Oreochromis niloticus: one gene and its partners. The protein of the gene in region 2 purifies or fractionates together with the protein of the main gene of each other region. This does not show direct contact. Links are inferred from orthologs where the notes say so. Each region holds a gene or a part of one and is shown on either strand. Other genes may lie near its edges.

Evidence for each region. Proteins that work in one complex are often made in the same cells at the same time.
Region 1: the proteins of lats2 (region 2) and mob1a purify together in Homo sapiens (affinity purification with western blotting; 9 studies listed by BioGRID and IntAct, with this or other methods). This does not show direct contact. The link is inferred for Oreochromis niloticus from reciprocal best matches to the Homo sapiens genes LATS2 and MOB1A.
Region 3: the proteins of lats2 (region 2) and sav1 purify together in Homo sapiens (affinity purification with western blotting; 4 studies listed by BioGRID, with this or other methods). This does not show direct contact. The link is inferred for Oreochromis niloticus from reciprocal best matches to the Homo sapiens genes LATS2 and SAV1.

What each region holds. Positions count from the first base shown.
Region 1 is NC_031977.2:19,146,716-19,154,376, forward strand, and holds the start of mob1a (MOB kinase activator 1A), read right to left. Parts: upstream 3,472-7,661; 5' UTR 3,290-3,471; coding exon 3,276-3,289; intron 2,164-3,275; coding exon 1,997-2,163; intron 1,577-1,996; coding exon 1,483-1,576; intron 288-1,482; coding exon 154-287; intron 1-153. Other genes in the region: mthfd2 (bifunctional methylenetetrahydrofolate dehydrogenase/cyclohydrolase, mitochondrial), read left to right, coding at 6,805-6,884. UniProt on the Homo sapiens protein: Activator of LATS1/2 in the Hippo signaling pathway which plays a pivotal role in organ size control and tumor suppression by restricting proliferation and promoting apoptosis.
Region 2 is NC_031987.2:27,638,442-27,645,821, forward strand, and holds the start of lats2 (serine/threonine-protein kinase LATS2), read right to left. Parts: upstream 3,476-7,380; 5' UTR 3,247-3,475; intron 1-3,246. Other genes in the region: uncharacterized protein LOC102075830, read right to left, coding at 6,698-7,380. UniProt on the Homo sapiens protein: Negative regulator of YAP1 in the Hippo signaling pathway that plays a pivotal role in organ size control and tumor suppression by restricting proliferation and promoting apoptosis.
Region 3 is NC_031983.2:21,074,681-21,082,559, forward strand, and holds the start of sav1 (protein salvador homolog 1), read left to right. Parts: upstream 1-4,408; 5' UTR 4,409-4,652; coding exon 4,653-4,746; intron 4,747-5,439; coding exon 5,440-5,928; intron 5,929-7,879. Other genes in the region: nin (ninein), read left to right, coding at 1,496-1,609, 2,425-2,631. UniProt on the Homo sapiens protein: Regulator of STK3/MST2 and STK4/MST1 in the Hippo signaling pathway which plays a pivotal role in organ size control and tumor suppression by restricting proliferation and promoting apoptosis.

The DNA.
Region 1 (7,661 bases), on a different chromosome or scaffold from region 2:
TTTTTTTTTTTTCAAAAACACAGAAGACCAATAATAGCATAATTAAATCATTCTCACAGGCTAAAAATAAAGCCAAAGGGAATATCCCTCTATCTGATATACTTCTTTAAAAAACACAAACAAAACACCACAAAAGCTTTAAGTAAAACTCACCGATCTTGGAGGGAAAAAGTGTCTCATCATCCAGCTGATCCTGCACCCAGGTCATCAAATAGTCAATGTACTTGGGCGCAGAGCATTTGATGGGCTTCTTAATATTGGTGCCATCAGCCCAGTGATACTCATACCTTCAGAAAAAGAACAAAATCAGTTGTCATCTCTCAGATTACCACCTTGATTCACTAGTTAAACTGGACCTGGAGAAGAAAAATGAGAGCTCTGCATACAACTGTGTATCTGTCAGAACAGTGGAACGTCATCTGGTAGCTGACAGGCCAAAAAAAGCACAGAAGGGGGAAATGCAGAAGTTTCGTAGTCTTGATGGCGGCTATGTCAACAGGAAGTGAACCCCCCTCGTCTCTTCCTCCTGATTAGAGACTGAGCGCAGAAAGTCTTGGCAGGACAGAGGATAGGGGAAGAGTCTAACTAAACAGCTTCTACAGGGTCCACGTGCAAGATTTAATTCCCGTGTTCCTCATGTGACATTCAGATGACTGATTTGAAGCTGATTTAACTTAACCACCTGCACCACTAAAAATGTGATCTGGGAATCTGATTCTGCAGTTAACTCAGGAGATCAGATCTTAACAGCTGGACCAAGTCTCTTATATAAAAGAAAGCCATTTTTATCTCAGTGAGACGTCCTGGTAAAATAACAGCTAATAAATAGATAAAGTGTAATTGTGGAGCTGATAAAACAGAGGAAGTGGGCCGCATGAAATGAGTCAGCTGAATTTAGCTTTATCTGATACACAGTGCAAAACAGATTTAGCTTTTTGTTTTTCTTTGTCTTTTTTTGTTGGGGAGTTGAGTTAAATCCTCAACAAAAACATCATGTTTGGGTATCAAACACTAAAAAATGTTTTTCCCATAGCTCAATAATAACCCAAGTCTTAAAAGTCAAAAATTCACTTCTGTTAAATGTAAAAATATATAAATAATCTCAAGTACAGTCAAAGGCCAAAATAAGATAGATATGAAATTTAAACTAATGCATAAAAATGTGCCTTTGCTCTGCCTCTGAGTTTTGCTGGCCCGTGCTACAGAGTCATGTGTTAAATGAAGCATTCAAGCAAAGAATTTGTGTCGAGAATTTTTTATAATTGAATTACTTGATTAATCACTGCAGCCCTAGTCTAAGTGTTGTATATACCTTTGAAAGTGGGCCATTGTGTATATCAGTAACCACACCGATAGATAAAGCATCTAAACACCCGTGTTTTTCCTGATGTTTCACAACGTGTCTTCAGTTAAATATGCCCTAGTGGAAATACTTTTACTCTAAATTAAGAGCACAAACATGAGGACAATGATTGGCGTTACCTTGGTCCTGCAGACATCACGGAGCAGCTCGTCTCGGTGCAGAACTCGGTGATGGTACCGTACAGCATGTTGATCTGGTTGAAGAAATCCACCGCTAAAGGAAAGAGTAAATTCTTATTTGTTTTATCCAGAATTTATGCATGTTATTGTGATGAAAGAACTGGGAGATTATAATATGTATTTTAGTATCTACACTCACAGTTTAATAGATTTAAAAGCACAAAATGCTCATAAGCCATATATTTAAACATACCATGTTTTATTAGAGATAACATATAAAACATGTAATTCTACAATACCTGCTTAATGCAACAACCAGTTATTTACCAGTCTGCCAGCTGTGTGCACTCTTCTATGACCCTATTACTCTTTTTACACCACAGGGTGGTGCAAATGTGCAGCACCTGTACAGAACTATTTTATTTATGATTCATGTTAACACTGGGCACAGGTACAAACTTTAACTGGTTAGTTGGATACTGTGTGTGCAGGGTCATTGTACTGAGTCACTCACTATTCACTGCAATCCATTCATTGAGATCCTCTCCCTCTGGCAGCATGACAGCCTGTCTCAGGTTTCCGCTACCCAGCGTTGCCTCTGCGTGTTTCAGCAGCTCATACTGGTGGGAGCCCTCTGGGATGTTCTTCTTCGGCTTGAAGGTCTTAGATGAGCGACTACCACTGGACAGAATTTAAAGTGGATCTAAGAAATATTGTCTTCATGGTGGTCATGTGGTACAGGCCATATCTGTCTGCCCCCCCCACGGGGTTAACATTTACCCTTGAAAGGTTGACAATGTAATTTTTACACCTTAAACATCTGATAAACATACTGTTAACTGGACATGTTGATCCCTGCATGACTGACTTTCATGTGTTTTCCTTCCTCTTTTATTTTTTTCTTTATAAGGTCATTTGCAGTAAGATTGTCGAATCAAATGTGTAACAGGACAGAGAGCTGAACACAGTAAAGACTGAACTTGTGATAGTGAACTACATAAACAACAGACTTTTATCTAAAGTGTCGTTTTTAAAAGGCTAATTTTAGAGTAGATCCTCTTCCTGGGCCTTGATCTACACACGGGAGGACTCCTGTTCATGTGTGCACTCAGCAGATGCAAGCTTGGTGGTGGACATCTATAAACTTCACGCTGAACTCGTGATGGGTGACCGCTGCAGCGTTTGCCATCAAACCAAAAAACTTTGGCTTCCACAGCGTCAGAGCCGTGACTCAACCACATTATAGTGTATACCCACTGACAGGAAATGCACCAGTGTCACAGTATTACTGTAAACAACGGAAACTTAATTAGCGGCGTTACTTAACATTTTATAACCACCCAGCGAGATTAGACCTCCAAAGGTGTGGGATATGACTAAAAATTGAATGTCTAGCCTCACTTAAGTCAGTTAAAGAGTGACCATATGAGCTAAGCTGGCTAACCAAACGCGAGTTAGCGCTGCTCACCAGGCTAGCAAAGTTAGCACGTACTAACTCACTACTTTAAAAAGTTACAGTTCGTGAGTTGTGGCAAACTGTAAATCAACAGTTTCTCGATCATGTTACAATCATCAGTGGTAGCTCTGCGTAAGGAAGGCGTCACTTTAACGCAACTTAAACCTATACTAAGACTGGGATGCGGTTAGCTGACTACTTTATGTAGCGGTGTCTTATTTTATCGCCCCTTACTTCCCTTGACTGAACTTCGTAGAAGCGCAGCTAACATTAACCGCAAGCTCCGGCTGTAACTTCACGAGCGCTTAAAAAAAGAAGAAAAAAACACTTTACTTACAACAGGAAGCTCATCTTGGCGCAGGAATCGTTAAAGTTCCTGGATTTGAACTCTTGAAGCTAGTTTAGTAAACAGAAACGCGTTTTAGGAGTACACTGTGCGAGGCACTTGTCAGGGGTGCCTGCTAACAGCAACAGTGAAGGCTAACATGAACTGCACCCACAGAGCCTCTTCCTCTGTCTGCTGTCTGCTGCAGCGCAAATGGTAGTCTGTCGCCCCCTTCAGTCTGCCTGTAGGTATTACTACGTACATTTTCCAAGCTCAAGACCTTTCTGTTATAAAACTGTTACTTTCTCATGTGTCATCCTGGAGCACTGTGACATACTGTGACACTGTAATACTGTGACATAGAACAATCCCCTTAAATTCTTTATGAACTTTTGATCATTTAATATGAGGACAGTGTGACAACAGTGAGCTGTCTGGTAGGTGCTACGGATGAGGTCAAAGTCAGGGTGGGATTATATTCAGTATCGGCTTTGAGCCCCTTCTTGTTTGCAGTGGTGATGGACAAGGTGACAGATGAGGTCAGGCAGGAGTCTCCGTGGCAATGATGTTTACATATGGCACTGTGATCTGTAGCGAGAGTAAGGACCAGGCGGATGAGAGCCTGGAGAGGTGGAGGTCTGCTCTTGAGAGAAGAGGAATGAAAGTCAGAGGAAGCAAGACAGAATATATGTGTGTGAATGAGAGGGAGACAGGTGCATTGAAGATGTAAGGAGTAGAGGTAGTGAAGGTGCATAAGTTTAAAAACCTGGGGTCAACCATCCAAAGAAACAGAAAGTGTACAAGAGAGGCAAAGATGAGAGTGCAGGCAGGGTGGAGTGGATGGAGACGAGTGGTGGGTGATCTGTGATACAATGATAACAGCAAGAGGGAAAGAGAAGGTTTACACTGAAACCTGCTATGAAATATGATTTGGAGATGGTGGCCATGAAAGGTGACTGAGGTGGAGGTGGTAGAGATGAAGATGTTAAGATTTTCTTTGGGAGTGAGCAAGACAAACAAGATTAGAAATGAGTAAATCAGAGGGACGGCTCAGGTTTGAAGACAAAGTTAGAGAGGTGGGGCTGAGAGAGACACTGGATGCTGAATATGAAGCTGTCAGACAGGAGGAAAAGAGGACGACCTCAGAGAAGGTTCATGGATGTAGTGAAGGAGGACATGAAAAGGGCTAGTGTGATAGAGGTGGATCCCAGGGACAGGGTGAGATGGAGATTTTAAATCAAACAATGGATATACGATCTAAGTGCAGACTGTCAGCTTAAATCTTTCTCATTTTCAGTTAAATAATAAGCTATTTCATTGCCAGGTGATGCCTGTTCCCTCATTATAGCAAAACTAATTATGCCGATAAAAGATCTGGAGTAAAAGGTCTGAAGCGTTGAATTTGCATTTGGAATTCGCAATATGAGGCAAAAAAGACACATTAGTGCAGGTGAAGGCATCGTTAGTTTGGAAACACAAATCTATCTGAGAGGTATCAATATATACATATATCTTTGGACATATAAAACAAGATGAACTTGTACCTGAAAGATGGAGAAGAGAAGAGAGAGACAGCATATGATCCGAAGCATACAACATTATCTGTCAGAGAACCTACTTTCACTCATATTCATTCATATACCCGCCCTGCATGTGCTCTCCAGATAAGGAAGTACAGTACATCTCGGTACTCTCCAAGCTCTAAGCTAAGCTGTTAGCTTGTGGTTCCACCAAAGAGCGAGAACAAACAGTGGCAAACAGAGAACAGATCAATGTGTTTCAAAAGGTTCAGTCAGGTATTACATTTTTCCACAAAACCTCCAGCAGACATGGGGTTAACTCCAAAGAATCCACTGCCTTAGTACTGTTTTTCCTTTAAGTGCCCACAGTTTGACATGAACATGAATACAGATAAGACCTACATTTAATCAAGTGCTCAACTAAAATACAATTCTTGTGTATCTGTACATAACTGAGTATTTAAACGTTGAAAGAAAATCTGCTTTAATACATCCAATAGATAAATGTGCCATGTAGTTGTTTTTTATTAGGGTTTAAGAAAAAACAGTTTTAAAGGATATTAAAGCTGCCAATAGGGAATAAAGTAATTACAATGGTTCAACTTGACCAAGAAAGCCATGATAATCATTTAGTAATCTAATAGTAGCAATCCAGTTTCAGCGTTGCTTTTAGTTTTCTTATTATAATGTGGGTGTTAAGAGTTAGAAGCAAGATTTATAATATTATAATACAAACACAACACCTCATTTGATACAGACATGATGTGAATTTACACCAAAGCCTCATTAAGCTGTCTGGGTGTTTCAAATCTGACCACACTGCCAAAAAGTAAGAATGTTTTCTGTTTATTTTTTATTTCAGTCAGTCTTGTAAGTACAAATTATTGTTTCCGATTTCTTCTCTCATTTTTATTTTTATTTTGGTTAATGAACGAGTCCATGAACAAACGTATGAAAAGTGACACAGACAACAAAAAAGTCATGAGAAAAATGAAAGTCGGTCAACCCGATGAGTGCAAAGCGTCCTGTGGCTGCAGAACAAGCCCAAATCAACACCCCTCCACCACCGTGCCTAACAGCTGCTATGAGGTGTTAGGTTTATGACAAACACGGTGCTGTGCATTATGATCTCCTTTTTGGTCTTGTCTGTCCACAGGACATTGTTCCAGAGGTCTTGTGGTTTGGTTCAGATTCTTTTTAGGAAGAAGAGGCTTTCTCCTGGCAACTCTTTCAAACTACATTTATAGTATGAACAACAACTCCATAGTGCCTTGTTGCCTGTAGCCTTTAGTCAGAGTCCTCAGATGTTTCCTCTTCTTTGTGCACCTCAGAAGTTGAACCAGAAACCTCAAGCCTGTTTCCACAAGGATAGAGGGAAAAACAAGCCATGATTGTTACTCTTTTACTAACTGTACTGTAATGACCTTTAACATTTAACATGCCAACTGAGGCCTGTGGAGTCTGTGATGGGGTTCTTGGGGTTTTTTTTACACTGTCTCTGAGCATTACAGGGTGTGACCTTGGCGTGAACTGCTGTGAAAACTGCAAAAAGTTCTGTGAAAATCCAAAACAATTAAGTTAGTTTTGCAAATATATAATATGCTTAAGTTTTTATTTAATGAATTAGCTTTTATTTCAGTTGATTCAAATGTTTTACCACACCTATACTTGGTTTCAGTGTTGTTTTAGTTAGCTATGATGATCCTGGTTGTTTGAACGTGGAAACTGTACGTGAAAAATAACTTTAAAGCTCTAAAAACAACAACAACTCTGACTCTATATTGAAAGAATAACGGCCTGGTACCGCTCATGAGCTTCCACGCTGGGCTGCTGTGAAGGGGCAGAGCTCTGCAGCAGAGGGCTGGCGACTGATAGCAGTGACGTAGGCAGCTTCCACGAGCGGGGGGGAGGTGTTTAAAACCGCTCTGCTCCTCTTCCTCCTTCACAGCCTCCCTCCGTCAGACCCGGGGTTTCGTAACCGGCGCTGTAGCAGTGTCTCCTCTTCTGTGAGCCGGTGAGAAATGGCAGCGCTCAGGACTCTCAGGAAACTGTGCCAGCACACACAGCACCAAGTCTGTAAACTGCACACGTCCGCCTCGAGGTGAGTCTCCTCCGCACATCTGCTGCGGCTTTAACGGTCATTTTACGACCTCTGAGGCGCTTCTGTTTCCTCACTCGGTAGGAGTGTTTGGTTCTTTTTTAGTTTCCCCACCCCCCGTGTGCCCTCTTATTTGTAGGCTTTTATGTACGCGGATGAAGTCGCTGGGTTTTATTCTGCTGGCTTTTATTGTTTTATTGTACTAAACGTCCTCAGTTGAGCACATTTCGCAGCGCCCCTAGCGTCACGCCGGTAATATTGCAGGTGTAGATGAGGGGTGGGGGGGCTGGCTGATGAAATCTGTGTGACTGCTTGCACCCAGTGGCAGGTTTCAGGTGGAGTTCGAGGTGTAGGTGTGCACACCTGGGGCAAAATGAACATGCAGGGTATATCTGATCACGTGGTCTGTAAAACCTGATATAACAAGCTGAGAGTAATGCTACAGCAGCTAGTCAGCAGCCTGTTAAGCGTTTGCATCGTGCAGGTATTTATTGGAAACTTGCTGAGTGCAGTATGACTACATGCAATTAACTAATCTTTCACACACACAAAAAAACTACTCTTAAATCTCGTGGGTCCTGCGCATGATCTGCGTGATTTGCAAAGACACAAGGCTGATAATTTAGGACATATGCATGTGTGATTATCTTACATCACTGCTTGCCAAATTAGATCTGGTGGGATCACGTTACCTCAAGTTAATTTCATTTATATATGTGAGGAAAATTTCTGCAAACTCAGCTGCGAGAAGGACTAGTGCTGTGTTATCATGTGCAGAGT
Region 2 (7,380 bases):
TTTAAAACCAGCCACAGAATGTAAAACAACCCACAATTACCAGGCGGCCACCTATTTTTGTTTATGTTTTTTAATTTTATTTTGTAGATTCAAGAAGGTTACATCCTATTTTTACTCATGACTGAGTCATGTGTTTGTTCTCAATTAGCAGATAGCAGATAGCTAAGTATGTCCAGTATCGGATTTTTGGAGTTTTCTGGTTGAGCTGATTTACTACAAGTTTCCCCGGCTGATGTTATCTGAGGATCGCGGTAGTATTCCCAGAGCATCCCCCCCCAGTTTGGCATACATCTTTTTTAACAACCTAGAATGTTTTATTTAATGTCTAAAAGTAGTCAGTTGAGCATTGGGTGGATTCTAATTTTTTCCTCCTCAAAAACCATTAACATTTGTCTCTGAGATATCATGACCACAACTTTTTTTTGTACTTACTATAGCTGCCAACAGAGATCTTTAAAAGCAGCTACAAATATACCAAATTAAACATCCAGATGTTTCCATCAATTTCAAATGTGCCACAGCTTTGATTCACTGATAAAGTAATATAGTCTGAAAACTTTGAAGTGATGGTGATGCAACATACTGAATTCTTACACTATCCCAGAGACTCCCGTGTGTCTGTGCGGAGGTACAAAAGAATACCTTCAAAAGAAAACACGCCAAAACTAAAATTTACAAGTCAAGTTTTGGTCTTAGGCAATGCCAAACAGAATCCACCCAGTGCTGTGATATTCTATATTTAGATAATTAAAAATACATTCTTAACAATATTATCTTAATCTTATATCCCTCAGCGCTACTACCAAGCAGCTGCAGAGGAAAAAGCTTCCAAACATAAAAAGCTCTTGAACTGCATCCCCAATCTCCTCCTTCTCCTGCTCCTCCTCTCTAGCAGTCTCCATCCCTTTGGGCCATTTCAGGAGGACACAGCCTTCACTGTTTGTACAGATTAAACTTTGCATAGACAAAAACATGCTTTTTCTTTTTACACTGCTGGGTGGTGGGGTAACATGGGGCCAAGCTCCATAAATGTTGCCCCATCTCCGGGATCTCTTGCCTCCATTCCTGCGATGCTTCAGGCGCCGTGTCCAAGCAATGAGCATTCCATTCCACAAGTAAGTACAAGTAAAATACCGCAGCTCAATCACGGGGCAGTACGCTGACCAAAATAACCCAAAACACAAACTACACGGACAGTATCTGTCTATAACTACAAATCTGCAAGAAAAAAAAAGACATGACTCTGCCCAAAACAATGCTCTACACATAACCACCCCCATCACTGAACCTTACTCCTTCTTTGACCTAACCCTAAACCTAAGATGACTTAAACTTCATGCTACACCAACAGGTACTGAGGAAAACTAGTGAAATAACCTGCGACATAAATATTTTTTCATCAATTCCTCAAATATCCACTTTAACAAAACAGACCACTGACAATGTTCTAATCTCTTTTTGGTAAAATAACTTTTTTTGACTTTTTGACTTTTAATGGCACATGTGACACTTTAAACGCATGTTTCTCTTCGTGGACATGTGTTGTTCATAACAAACTTTAGCACACTATACCACAGCTTTGTTTTCGGTCTCACCAAAAACAAAGCTGCCCACTGTGATGCTAAATTGGGAAAGCATGCATTCTGCAACATTGAACCCCACAGAATACTGAGCAACGCGAGCAGCTGGCAGGTTAATACTAATAAGATTGCCTCTAACCTGCCTGAAGGATCTGAGAGAATGTGGACGGTCATATCTCTGCTGTGTTTGGGAAATTGCGAAGCAAGAGGAGGCGGAGGTGGAGGAAAGAACACAACTTCCTAATGGGCAAAGCTGGCCAACAACTAAGCTTTGGGTGGAGTAAGACAGGGGGTAGAGGTGGGTGGGACCAACTCAGTTAATGTTGCAGGACACATCACAAATGTGCAGGCAGAGACAACAGTTGATGGAAACTGGCTGCAGCTGTGAGAGTGCAAGTGTGTGTGTATAAGAGGGAAACAATTTGGCTCTTTCTGTGTGTATCTGATGCACTGCAGCTCAACCCCAAAATCAAACCGATATGTTTTCCCTGTAGCCTTTGGAGTCATCTACCCATCTAGATTGTTTTTGTGTGCATGTAGCCCACTTTTTTACATTTGTCCCTTTAAAACAAATATGGTAGTAGTAATAACATGTAATAATCCCTGCATGCTTCTTACAATCCACTGTGTTGACAACATCACCACCAAAGCATCTGTTTGTATCCCAGTGGTTCCTCTTTGACAGATACCTCTGACGTGCATGACACCACACTGCCGCGCCACCCTAGTCTGAGTGAAACTGGTGTGATTGTTTGAAAATGTGACCCCCCGCCCCCGCTACAGGACAGACTGGCAGGAGCATCAAGCGTCCCTTTAAAACATGTGACTTTGGTTTGCATCACCCAGGTCTGCTGTCACTGCTGAACTAATCAAAGCGCTGAACTGTCTTGACAGACAGAAGTGTGTCAAGCAGAAAGAAAGAGAGTGGGTGAGTGTGTTTTGGGGATAGTAATGCGGTACAGTACACCTGAATGAAACGCACTGTTGCATCAGTGCCAAACTATGCAGGGCCTGAGAGAAGTGAAAATGATAGATTCAAATCAGATGACTCCATTTTCATTTTCAGATACAATATTAAAAAAATATTCTGACCTGTTACGAACTATTTTATTTAGCTCAGTTCTTATTAACTACAAATCTGTTCACTCACTTTAAACAGTGAAATTAATGCAGGATCTTCTGACTAACAGCATCTACAAAGCATAGCTTCTGTTACTGTTAGTGGTCCTCAGAGGAGGCACAAGTTAGGATGCCCAAATAAGATGGACTTTAAATGTACACAAATAAACAAACATTTAAATATAGACTAAACCCTTAAATTGAATTCCCACATTTGCACCAAAGCTTTAAAACTAGTACACAGTGATATTTGTATGGGCATAAAGGTCCGGAAAGCCCTGTTTTAAAGCGCTGGGGCCTTCTCAGCAATATCCCAGGCTTGAGTTGGGGGCTGAGAGCAGCAACACATTCCAATGCAGGGAGAGAAAAAAATGGAGGCAGTCCTGTAAGCTCCAAAGAGGCTCAAACTTACAGAAACTTCCATTTCGTTTTCCATAAGCCTCGCTGTATAACACACCCATAACGGAACGTTTTGCTCAGCAACAAGTCGTGGAAATAAGTCACACCACCACCACTCCCCTCCCAAAAAAAGCAACTCTCAACTTACCATGTGATAGAAGTGGCGAGAAAAACTCAATATGAAGAGAATAAATTCCGTTAAACGGCAACTTTTTTTTTCTTTAAAGAGTCCGGTTCTCGGTTGTTGAGCGCGTACACCTAGCTCAGTGGGTAAATATGATGAAATGAGCCTCCATTTTCTCCCCAGACTCCAGGCAGGATCAGAACTTCAGCACAAAGTTGGACACTCGCTGCATTGTTAACATTCCTCAGGTCACGTGACGGACCAATGCACGTCAGCGGACCTGAAGATCGTCTATTAGGCGAGTGCCGTTCACTCCGTTCACGTTGTTTTAGCTAGGAGCTGTTACCGTTTGCGAACAAATTAAACTTAAAAATGTTTTTGCGTATTCGGCGTCGTACAAATCTCTTTTTGTTGAAGTGCATCAGTAAGTTTTACTTTTGATTTTAAAGACGAGTTAAGTATAGAAACAGAACTGCGGGGTTCTAGTTTACGCTGTAGTGCAATAGCGAGTAGTGACGAGCTGTCGTTTTCACCGCTGCAGTAACTGCAAAAAGCAACGGAGTGAGACGTCTTGATTTCCTTCCTCTGAAATATTCACAGGCGGAGCTTCCTCCAAGCATTTTTCCCTTTGATAAATAAAGTATATCTGCACATTACATTACTCAGTCACCCCTCTCCGGCCTTGGAAATAGTCTTCACCAATGACTCAGTGTGAAAGCAAATAAAAAGTTATAATAATGTCAGTTATCACAGGACAACACAGACCTTCAATATTTTACACGTACACACAGAAAAACATAACGGCGACTCTTGGGTAGTGTGTAAGCTGATGCAATTCCACAACTTTATTTTTTCAGTCACAGGAGCTATATTAAAAGAGAAACTAAACAGGAAACCTTCAGGAGTTTACACATCATGGAAGCACATGCGTCCGTAACAATAATGTCAAACAGCAATGTAGTGTGAGAAAAACATGAGTTTATGAACTTCTTTCATACATGTCAACCTAGAAGCTCTTATTTTAGAGCAGGAAAAACATCAAATAGGAAGTATTGACTTTGTTCTTATGCATGTAAGAACTAAATACAGACAGAATAAACCAACAGTCATTTCACAAAGCCTTTTAACTACTATTAATACTGGTATTTGGCCTTGCTTGATAACAGTCCTCCAGCGGCACTCACTACTTTAGGAACGGCCAAACACCGTTTAAACCAGACTGTAAGACTATTTTAATCAGTCAAAAAAGGGGGCTTTTCGCTCCCTCCATAAAAGAGCAAGCAAGGTCTGCAGATACAGTCTACTCAGTCAAAGACTTGATTTAAAAAAAAAAGGAAGCATGTGTTCATCCAAAGTACATGCACTGCTGAAGAAATATATCAACCCATAGTACTGCTAATTAACTTGATTTTTATAGTTTGTTTAGAGCATCAGCAGTGCCAAACACCATGGCTAATTGAAGGGGGGAAAAGCAGGCAAGTGGACTAAATATTGTGGCTAGATGTCCTTATGGAAGCCCCAGAGCAATACACAGTCAACCAAAACATGACCACTCAGAAAAGACAGACCCATCTGTTGTCTGGGATACCCAGGGGTCTGAGAACAGAAGGCACATTCTGAACCTAACACCGATTATGAAGCATCACCTGTTTAAGCCCAGCACCTGAACTTAAGTGTAGTCTTTGTTATTGGAGCATTCCCAATTCATTTTTGGGCCCTGAGCCAATTGTATTGTAGCCCCTCAAACCAATTACCTTAGGAGAAAACATATGTATAAGTGTAGTGACTTTAGATTAGTTTTGGCAGAAAGTTGAGCACACAAGAATGATGTACCTTAAAAACAAACAAACAACAAAACAATAGGAACACACATTTAGACCTTGTTGACTACAGATGCTGACTCATCATGCACATCTGGCTTAGGGACCAAACCAGGAAAAAGTTCAAAGAATAGTGCATGATGTCAAAATAAATATCTGTAGAAAATATGGGCTGATCTGGAACAGCTTTACAAACTAAGGCACCAGCAAAGCAGCACTACTAAAATATGTAATTCAATATTCAGAGCGGGTTTTCTTCAAATGAAAAAAAAAATGCAGATATACTGTATATCAGTATAAACTTTCCAGTTGGTGTGTCTACATTACTGAAAGGTCAAACCCTTTAAAAAGATCAAAATTTCAGTTGCTGGGTAACCTTTCTGGAAATAACCCGCAGCCTTGTACCATAACTACTGCTGTGGCTCGTGCTCATGGACCAAAGCCTGTCACAGTCTCCCACCGGAGAGGACAAACCAGTGAGAATGAATCCACATGTTAAATGTAGCTGATGTACTCATCTAACAATGTGTTTCTTCAGGCTCAACAGCATGTCAGCATCTGTCACAATAATGTTTACTTCTTCACCAGCACAAAAGATGATTCTTTTTGTATTAAATAACGAGCTTTAACTACTTTGGGGAAATTAACAATTACCTAAACACGTGGCTCAGTAAAAATGGACATCATTGTTAATTACTGTATACAGCTCAAGCTGAAGTCTGATTTTCTGTTCATCATCATCATTACTATTATTGTTATTGTCTAAACCTGCAAAACAAGCAAATCCCTGCTGATGAAGACATTGAAGACATCTGCCATTCCAAGATGTGCTTGAATTGCCAACTTGTAGCTAATCATCGCAGCTGACTGTACTCTTGCTATAAAAAGTACCTGGCTTACAAAAATGTGACTATGCCAAAAAAAAAGATGAGTTTAGAACCAGTACTCCTTCACAAACCACAGGACACTTCTGTCCCTGCACCCCGAACTGGGAGGAGACACCGGGGCCGAGGAGGTGTACTACTTTGTCTGGCATTTCTGTTATTTTAACCTCTTTCTATGCATATTCCTATGTGCACGCTTCCTGATTTAGATGCAGGGAAGCAACAAAAAACTAAATAAAAATTAAAAAAGGTTAAGCAACATGCCACTTCTCTGCAGCAGATCGATGTAATCTGGTAACTACAGTCAGGGATGGGAAAGACACACTTAACAGTCAGAGATGTGGGATCAGTGGAAACGCATCACCCAAACTGCAGTGTGTATACTTCAGCATTTACAAATAGCTAATCAAGACAGATTTCATGAGGGTTTTACTCACAGTTTTCACCCAAAGCCTAAACAAAATAAATTCTTGCAAGTCGGCCATTCTTTGTGAGAGGAGGTGCATAACTTCATGACATTACATCTCAGAAATGTGGTTTCTGTATTTGGAGAAATGGTCCTATTGCTAAGTATAAACTGACCCAGATCACAAGGAGTGACATAGATTGAAAGTTAGGATTATAGTGGAAAAGTATAAATCTATTTGCTGTAGTCATGATGTAGTGTCGACACATAGACACAGAGGGACAGCAAGAAGTGCAGTCCAAAGCAGTAAAGGGAACTGAAGAGCCTGATCAGCATTAAAGGAGCACGAGGAGTTTGTCTACACATCACTCTAGTGGAGCAGCAGAGATGCACAGGTTGTTTAAGGCACAGGCAACTTGCACAATCTTATCAAAGGTTGAGAGGTTCGACGTGCGCTCAGAGGCTGCGGTGAAGGCGCTCTCGACAGGGCCCGTGAGCATGGCGTACCGCTGCTTTACCATGGAGATCACCCTCTCCACATGCCTCTGCACGCTCAATGTCTCGGAGGAAGGATCAGCCAGCAATGAGCCCTCTGTTCTCCCATATGCTTCTCCCTGGTAGCTGCCAGCAATTTTAAACAAGGCTCCACGTGCTGCCACAGAGTCTCCGATGTCCAGGTCACGGCTTGCCAGTACGACATCGCCCGGGAGAAGCTTGCACAAAAATCCACAACCCTCAGCCAGGCTCTTGTCACTGACGTTTCCCAGCACACCCCTAGAGACAAAAGTGACCACGCCTTGCGGAGCCACGCCAATCAGATACTTAAACACGTTATAACTTGACCCCGCCCCCTGAGAGACCGGGTCCTCGAAAGGCACGGTGAAACAGTCTATGATGACGGCGCAGTCAGGATGAGAGGCTCGCAGCGCGGCTGGCAGGTTTTTACGGAGCTCAGCTCTGGAGGGCCAAAAGACAGCCGTTGGCACCAGAGTAGAGGACATGATGTTGACCATCCGGTGAACTGTTCTGGTTACTGTGCCGACTTTCA
Region 3 (7,879 bases), on a different chromosome or scaffold from region 2:
AACTAGAGAGATGTTTTCTTAGCCAGTATGAACAGGAGGAATGCTGACATCCTGCAGATTGATTAATCTGCATTCATATTAGAATTTCTAGTTTGTCTATCTTCATTTATTCAATAGTCTACACACATCTCAGGCATAAAAAGCCCATCTTTAGAATTAGAGGGTAGAGCCCTGGTGAAGTGTACCTGCCTTTTCTCTCCAGGGGGCGATGCCGGAGCAGCGGGCGGCACACGCAGACAGCTGCCGGCGGATCGGTGGATTGTAACGCCAGCGTCATTTCCTGCTCTTCGCTTTACAGACTGCTTACATTCTGCTCTCCCTCTGTATCCGGAGTAAAAATCTGAATGTGGCACATGAAGCCCCACATTTGTGGTGCCAGAGATAAATGGCATGACGTTGTAGTTGTATTTCATTGCTGCTAGGTGGCAGGGAAACACAGAAAAGGCTCCTGGCTTGTTTTCCAAATGGGATTTTGATCACATTAATACTTGCATTGACAGTTGATAGACTGTATGTTTTCTAAAAAGAATAAATAAATAAATAAAAATGTAACATCACTGAGCTTATATAGACTGGAAAGAGGTAGGACCAGACCTTTGGTGGATTCATTATACATCCTGGTCGCAGTGAATCTTTTCGATGCAGGGTTTACTTTCTGGGAATGACTGTTATGCACTTGTGTCTTTTTAAAACTTTAAAGGGTTTATGACAGGGTATGTATCCTCGGAGGAAAAATCCTGTCATCAAGGGCCAAGGTTAGTGCCTGACAGCCTTTTGAGTCTTTTTCTAACAATCAAACCATTCCCACCTGTTGTTGCCAGGTGATGCTACCTGATGCTATTTGTGTGCAGTCAGGGTTCATGGAGATTGTTCAATGAAGATACCAAGTTTTTAGTCCTCTACTGTCCTCTACTGTATATTTGTGTTCTGGGCCTCTTTTGTTGCTGCTGAGCACCCAAAGTGAATCACATCTTTTTGTTTTTCTTAAGCAAGGACTGATCAAACATGTTTGGTAATTAATTTTCAATGTTTGGCTGGTATTTATTAAATCTTTGTGAGGTTGGTAGTTTGTCTTTAGTACAGCGTGTCATTATGTCCGTGTTTTGGGTTTTTTAATCATTTAGTGCATTTTTGTTCTTCCTATGATGCACATCTGTTTTATTTATTTTATTTATTTTTTTCATGTTTAGAGTTTGTTTTATTTATTCATTAATTAATATTTTTTGTAGCTATATCTGGAATATAAGTCATAATTTTATACTTGTATTTATTTTTCTAGTGAATCATCCTCTTTAGAAATGTAACAGAAATCCATTAATAAAGAATAAAGCAACTAGCTCACAAGAAATGGTGTCTGACTCATCTCACGCTCACATTTGCAATTGTTTTGTTTTTATTATATTTTTTTTTCACCCACTCAGAAGCTGAACTCATTTTATATGGTAGTCTTGCATCAGCAGCAGTTTGACAATGTCCTTGACTGTCTTCTCCCCAGGATGAAAGGGAGACGAAGATGAAGCGCATGGAGGAACGAATGAAGGAAATAGAGTTGTCTCTGCATAATGTCAAGCTGCTGCTCAAAGAGAAAGTTGCTCAACTCAAAGACCAGGTCAGTTCAGTTTCAGTTCAATGGCTTCCACTAATTTTATTTTATTTATTTTTTTATTTTTTTGTAAGGTGTTGTACAAAGCTGGACTGCCATTTCAACAAAAATCTACTATACATTAGCTAATTTGGTAACAATGACAACGCAACACAACCTGTGGGAGAAGATAGACAAAATTTAATATTATTCAATAATGAAACATACTTGGTGCATAATGGGAGGTTCCCCAGCAGTCTGAGCCTGTATCAACATGGGATGGTTCAGGGTCATCTGCAAACTATAAGCTTAATCAAAAATTAACTATTTTTAAAGTAGAGAAGGGCATCTGTCACCTGTAACTTGGAACTCTTTCCACAGGAGAAGAGGCCTGATGAGATCTGATGGGGTCTCATTGTTAGTTTATATGTTAGGAGGAACATTTGGTACAGTTTGATAGTGATTGCAGGAGTCCAGCCAAGAATTAAAAACTGTATGAATTCATTTTTCCACATCACTCCGAGATGCTTGGCAATTCCACAGAGATAAAATAAAAAAAACTCAGAATTTATCATTAGAAAGGTTATGTTGTTAATTTAAACTATACCCATATTGTGTTTTCTGTCGTAGATAACTCCATTTAGTCTTCATAGCAATGGAAATGTATCCAGTAAAAATACTACCTAAGAGAAATGGTATGGGTCCTGGTACAAAACCTTGTGGAACTCCATAACTAAAACCCCTTTTTTTTTTTTTTTTTTTTTCGAACAATTTGAAATTATTCAAAACATTGCCATGTAATGTAACCCATTACAATCAATTATCTACTTTGACTTTTCTAGCTGCACAAGAATGGCAAAGCGGACGTACTAATCAAAGATCTGTATGTGGAGAATGCCCAGCTGCTGAAGGCTCTGGAGATAACTGAGCAACGTCAGAAAATCGCGGAGAAGAAGAACTACCTGCTGGAGGAGAAGATCTCCAGCCTCAATAAGATAGTGTGTGACCTAAACCCGTCACATCTTCCGCTGCCGTACCATTATAAATGATCACAAGGGATTAACTTGAAATGTGTGTCAAAGTCAATATTTGCACTGTATCTTTACTAAATACTTTTATTTTATTATATTTATCACTGCTGCAAACTTTATGCAGCAGATTCTGCCAATTCATGAGAACTGGTGGTTTTATGTTAAATATGCAGTATTTTTGTCCATTTAATTCTAACCAGTAATTAATGGGACCCATAAATAATTAAATATGAGGTCAAACTGCAAAGAAGACATGACTTTTTACAGTTATTTATATTTTTAAAGCACTATTACCTATTAGTAAATATCTTACCTTTAAACTTGCTCTCTGTCCAAAGAGAGGAAAAACAATTATGAAGTGTACTTTTTATACAAGTGTTCTGTGTTTGAACTGTCCAAAAGTTGTTTCTCTAGCCCTATTGTAAAAGAATAAATAGAAACCTGTCGTTCGGTAGTAAAATCATGCAAACTGAGAAGTCAAATCATGTTTTACCTAACACTACTTGAAATTGAAAAGACTTTAAATGTCTATCAAGTGGCAATATTTTACATGTCATTTTACTTTTAAAGGAAATTGTATGATCTGTTGCAATATGTAAAGGTGTACAGGCTATGTGATTATGGTTGTTCTGGCTTGAAAGAAAGTACCTTGTTATTGTAATTAATTGTAATCTGCATTTATTGCAGAGTAAGCATTAGAGTTAAGACAGGGTAATGGCTGTGCTACAGATATAAATAAAATGAATGGATTGTGTTTGGTGGTTTGTAAGTTATGGCTTTTTTTCATTGGACATACACATGATAACAATAAATGTGATTCAAGCAAAATCAACATATTTAAAATTCATGCCAACCATCCATGGCAGGAATGTCAAACTTATTTTACATTGTGGTCCAACATCCAGCTAAAGCTGTGGCCTAATAACATGTTAGAAGATGCCTCTTAATTATTCCCCTTTCTTTCAGTGTAAAAAAGTTCAGATAAATATTAAACAACTGAGATGTCTTAACAAAAAAAAGTGTATTTTCAACAGTACGTCTCACTCTTTGCTGACAAATTTCTTTATAATGTACATTCTTTAGGTTTATGTCTGAGTAAATGATTACAGCTACAGAAAAAAAAACACTGGCATCCCACACTTTATACTGTAAATAAAGTTGTTGGGGGTTTTTTTAACCTGTGGCTCCGATACAAAACAAAAATGTAAATAATGAAAGAAAACCATTTCATATCATTTATTCAGTACCTACTTTGGTGTATGAAAGGATAATGTGTTTTTAAGAGAAGCTGTAAAACTGGACAATACAGATAAAAAAAAATAATCTGCAATTTCCACAGTGTTTAAGCCATCTAGTGGGTCAGTATAGACCCTTGAGAAGCCTGTTCCAACCCCTGGGCCATTTAACATCCCTGACATACAGGTGTGACCAGAAATGTAGTCACTTTAGTCTAAACGATCAGTTAACTCTCTACGGCTTTAAAATGCTGCTCATGGTTTGCTGCTTTTGTTGTTTACATCCAAAGTTTGCACAAAACAGACATGCATTAAACAATCTGTATGAAAACGTGTATAAGTAAAGACAACAGAGATTTAGGAAAAATTTAACTGATATTTTCTAACTACAGTACAGTTTTTGAACACTGTAGTATAATAAATTTAAAGGTATAGGCTTAATTATTTATTGATTGCCATCCAACCTTCAAAAGTCTCTCATGTCAGTTTATTTCTAAATCAAATTTTCATATGTATCTGTTAATACTGTGTTTATGTCACCGAAGGGCCCCACGGTGGTTTTTGCTCCTCTCTCTCCTCCTTCAGATGGAAGGACTTCCCAGTAGTGGGACTGGATCCGCTGCAGCAGCACTGACGCTCCCTATGGCTTCAGTTAGCTGGCTAACTGCGGCTAGCTAATCCAAAGCTGCGGGGAAAAATGTTGACTTTCCGCGCTTTGCTAACTGGCCGGTATGGTTGCAAAGTCGAAGGATTGTGCCATGACTTTACCTCACCGTGCTGTTGATGTTTTCCGAGCCTTGAGTTATGCTCTCACGAAAGAAAAGTAAGAACGAAGCGTCCAAACCAGCCGAGGTACACGGGAAGTATGTGAAGAAGGAAACGTCGCCGCTCCTGAGAAGTAAGCGCAACAAGTGGTTAGCTTGTCAGCTAGCCCCGAATAGCATCACTCAGCTCGCTAGTTAAAGTTAAACACTGTTAAAGCTTAGTTGGCTAACATTAACAAGTAATGTAAAATTACTCTGTGGGAACATTTATACTTATTTTTAAAGCTCCCACGATTGTAAACAGCAGTTTAATGCTGTACAGTCTAACCAAACACAGCTACGATGATAGTTATTGTAGCTAAATGCTACATGAGCGCCAGTTGTAGTGTATAAAGTTATAAGATAATGCTTACAGCTCTAAATGACTCAGCTAAAGGCATATTATACTAGTAGATTAGTTTAGTTAAAAGTATTTTTTTAGTGTCTGTAATGACTTATGATTATTGTGATAGCTGCTGTTAGGTGTTTCTATTAGAGTATCTATAGAAGTATTATGAATGTTCACTGGAGTGAAAATAGCAGTATTTTGTAGAAATGGGGGTATTACTAAATTACCTTCTCGTGTAAAAGTTTTATTCGAGAGTCAGTAAACATTATAATTCAGGTATGAAAATTAAAAGTACGCGATTTGGCTCCTATTAGTAAAATATTCTGTTTTTATTATGGGTTTTTTGTTTTGTTTTGGTTTTTTCAAGTCATCAGGCATGAGCAGCTCCAAGATATTGTGTTGCCTTTTATTGACATTTGCTCTGCTGACCTGATTGCAGATCTTATGCCCTCCTTCATCCGTCATGGACCCACTATACCCAGACGCACAGAGGTCCCTCTGCCAGAAATGGTGCCTTCTTCCTACCCTTTGGCACCCAGCCGGGAACCTGTGGTGTCCCGTAACAAGAGTGTCCTCCGTACCCATGTGCAGAAGACTCCTCATGAGGTGGCCCGCACAGAGAGCCACCGCTTGTCTGCACCTCCGTACCTGCCTCGCAGTCTGGGAGACATTTCGCATGAGTATGGAGGCTCATCACAGTCCTTCCTTACAGACGTGAGTCCCATGTCTGAGAATGGAGATGCCCGGTATTATTACCCCTCTGAACCTTATTATGAAAACCAGCAACATCAACAGCAGCAGCAGCGCCAGCCAAGGAGAGTCCCAGACCGCTTTCCTGAAGACTATAGATACTACGAGCACAATGAGCACAACTTCCAAAGACATCCCCGACAACATACTCCCCCAGCTCCAAACAGACCCCCTTCAGGTAGATTTTACATTTCTTTGTGAAGCTCCCTTTTAACGCTGTTCATGTCTTTATTTATATATTTTAACGAATTTAAAGAGGTTTTGTGATAAAAGCAAGAAACACCTAGTTTCAGAAAGTTTATGACTGACATCCCATCAGCAACTTTTTAAAATTTCCCCTTGTAGACCTTTTTTTTTTTTTTTTTTTTTTTTTTTTTTTTCAAACCCTTGTTTCTTTGGTGTATGGCAAGATGTAGTAGTGTCAGTGGCTGTACTAATGTATAATTTCTGTTTTGAGTATTATGGATGGTTGTCCAACTACACAGAGGCCACTCTGAAAGGAATGCAGGCCACTAGTTGTCAAATTGAAAAGAGCAATTTCATTTCAGTCTTTATTTTACTGCTCTGTGTTGTAAACATTACTATGATGTAAGTGTAATTACATTGAGATGGGGGGGGGTTGGGGGCACGGGAATGCTTCTTGTCCTCCTCGTACCATAAAGACACTTTTATTTTGTGGCTGGCTTGTCAGTGTCATGTATACAGTTCAGTATTATGTCAGGCCTGCCGATCATGTAGCCTTGTTTGGAGTAAAGTCAAACAAGCATTAGAGGCTCTGCATTTTTCACCACTGTGTTTGCTGAAACTTTCTGCCAGCAAACTAGTAATTTGCACATTGCCCCCAGTCAAATGTCTCAGCCTCAAACTGCTCGCTAGCATGAATCATCCTTGTTACGTATGTGCTGATCTCTTTATGCTTGCATTTAAAACACAGTGAAGTTTGAGAGGGGTCACCCCTCAAACACTGGCAGACGTTTTTTCATTTTGATAACAGCATGTTTTTGTCCCGTAAATAGTACTTTTTAACAAGAAAATAATCAAATCAAAGCAGTTTGAAAATAACTCAGAAGTTAAATGTTGGTGCAGGGATTGACGTTATTTCTGAGTTGCGTGTGTTCAAGTAGTGAAGTCAGAAGAAAACAAGGGAAAGCATGATTTGTTTTGTTCTTTAACAAGGTAAAGTCATTCAAGCATCACTTTGAATATAGTGCAGTCTTTTTTTGTGCTTAAAAACAACGCTGTAGCATGTTTGTGCATGACGCCCAGTCAGTACAATGCCACTATATGTTATTACAGCGTGGCTCTGTGGTATAGTTGGTCACATTTGCTTTAAACTGAAATTATGGTTCAGTGGGGGTGGCATGCTGGCCCATCTACCTGCAGAGACCGTCTGTTGTTGGACAGTGTCCAAAGTATGTTGTACAACCGGTCTGTGGGCTACTCTTGCTTGTCCTTTTGTTGGTCCATCAGGCAGCCAGGTAGAAGCACAAGCTAGTGCCCAAGCCCAGATAAGGAGGGTTGTATCACACAAGCATCTGCTGGAAAATCTCAGCCAAATTGGGTATGAAGATCTTGTGTGGCAACCCCTTGGGAAATAAAAGAGAGTATATACTGTTTAAGTGGTGTCCTATACTATACTGAAGCCCCACACACCTGCTGTTTAAACCTCGTGTTTGCAAAGGGCAGCCAGTTAAAAGAAAGAGCGGTTAGTTCTGGATGAACTGAGGGGCTTTGTCAAGGCTTAACTCTTAATAGGGCACTCATTGAAATACTTGGAAATTCAAGTCAGGTTGTGCTGTTCTGTGACATGATTCTTTGACACAACAGCATTTTCCCTCTTTCTATAAACGACCTGATCAGACAGCTGCAAAAAAAAGGACAGAATGTTTTTGAGTCGATAAGTGTAGATTTACTGAAAACAAAAAATATTGACGAATAAATTGTACATATTTACTAAGAAGTGGAAAAATAGCATTATATGTACTGATTGTACCACTTTTTTTCTTATATGTAATTAAGTCAAAGATAAATAAAAAAACAAATAGTGAATTATTAAATCAATTTTAGTAGAAAAAAGTCTCACAGTAAAAATAAACAACTATATATGACTTTTAAGTATAATATAAAAC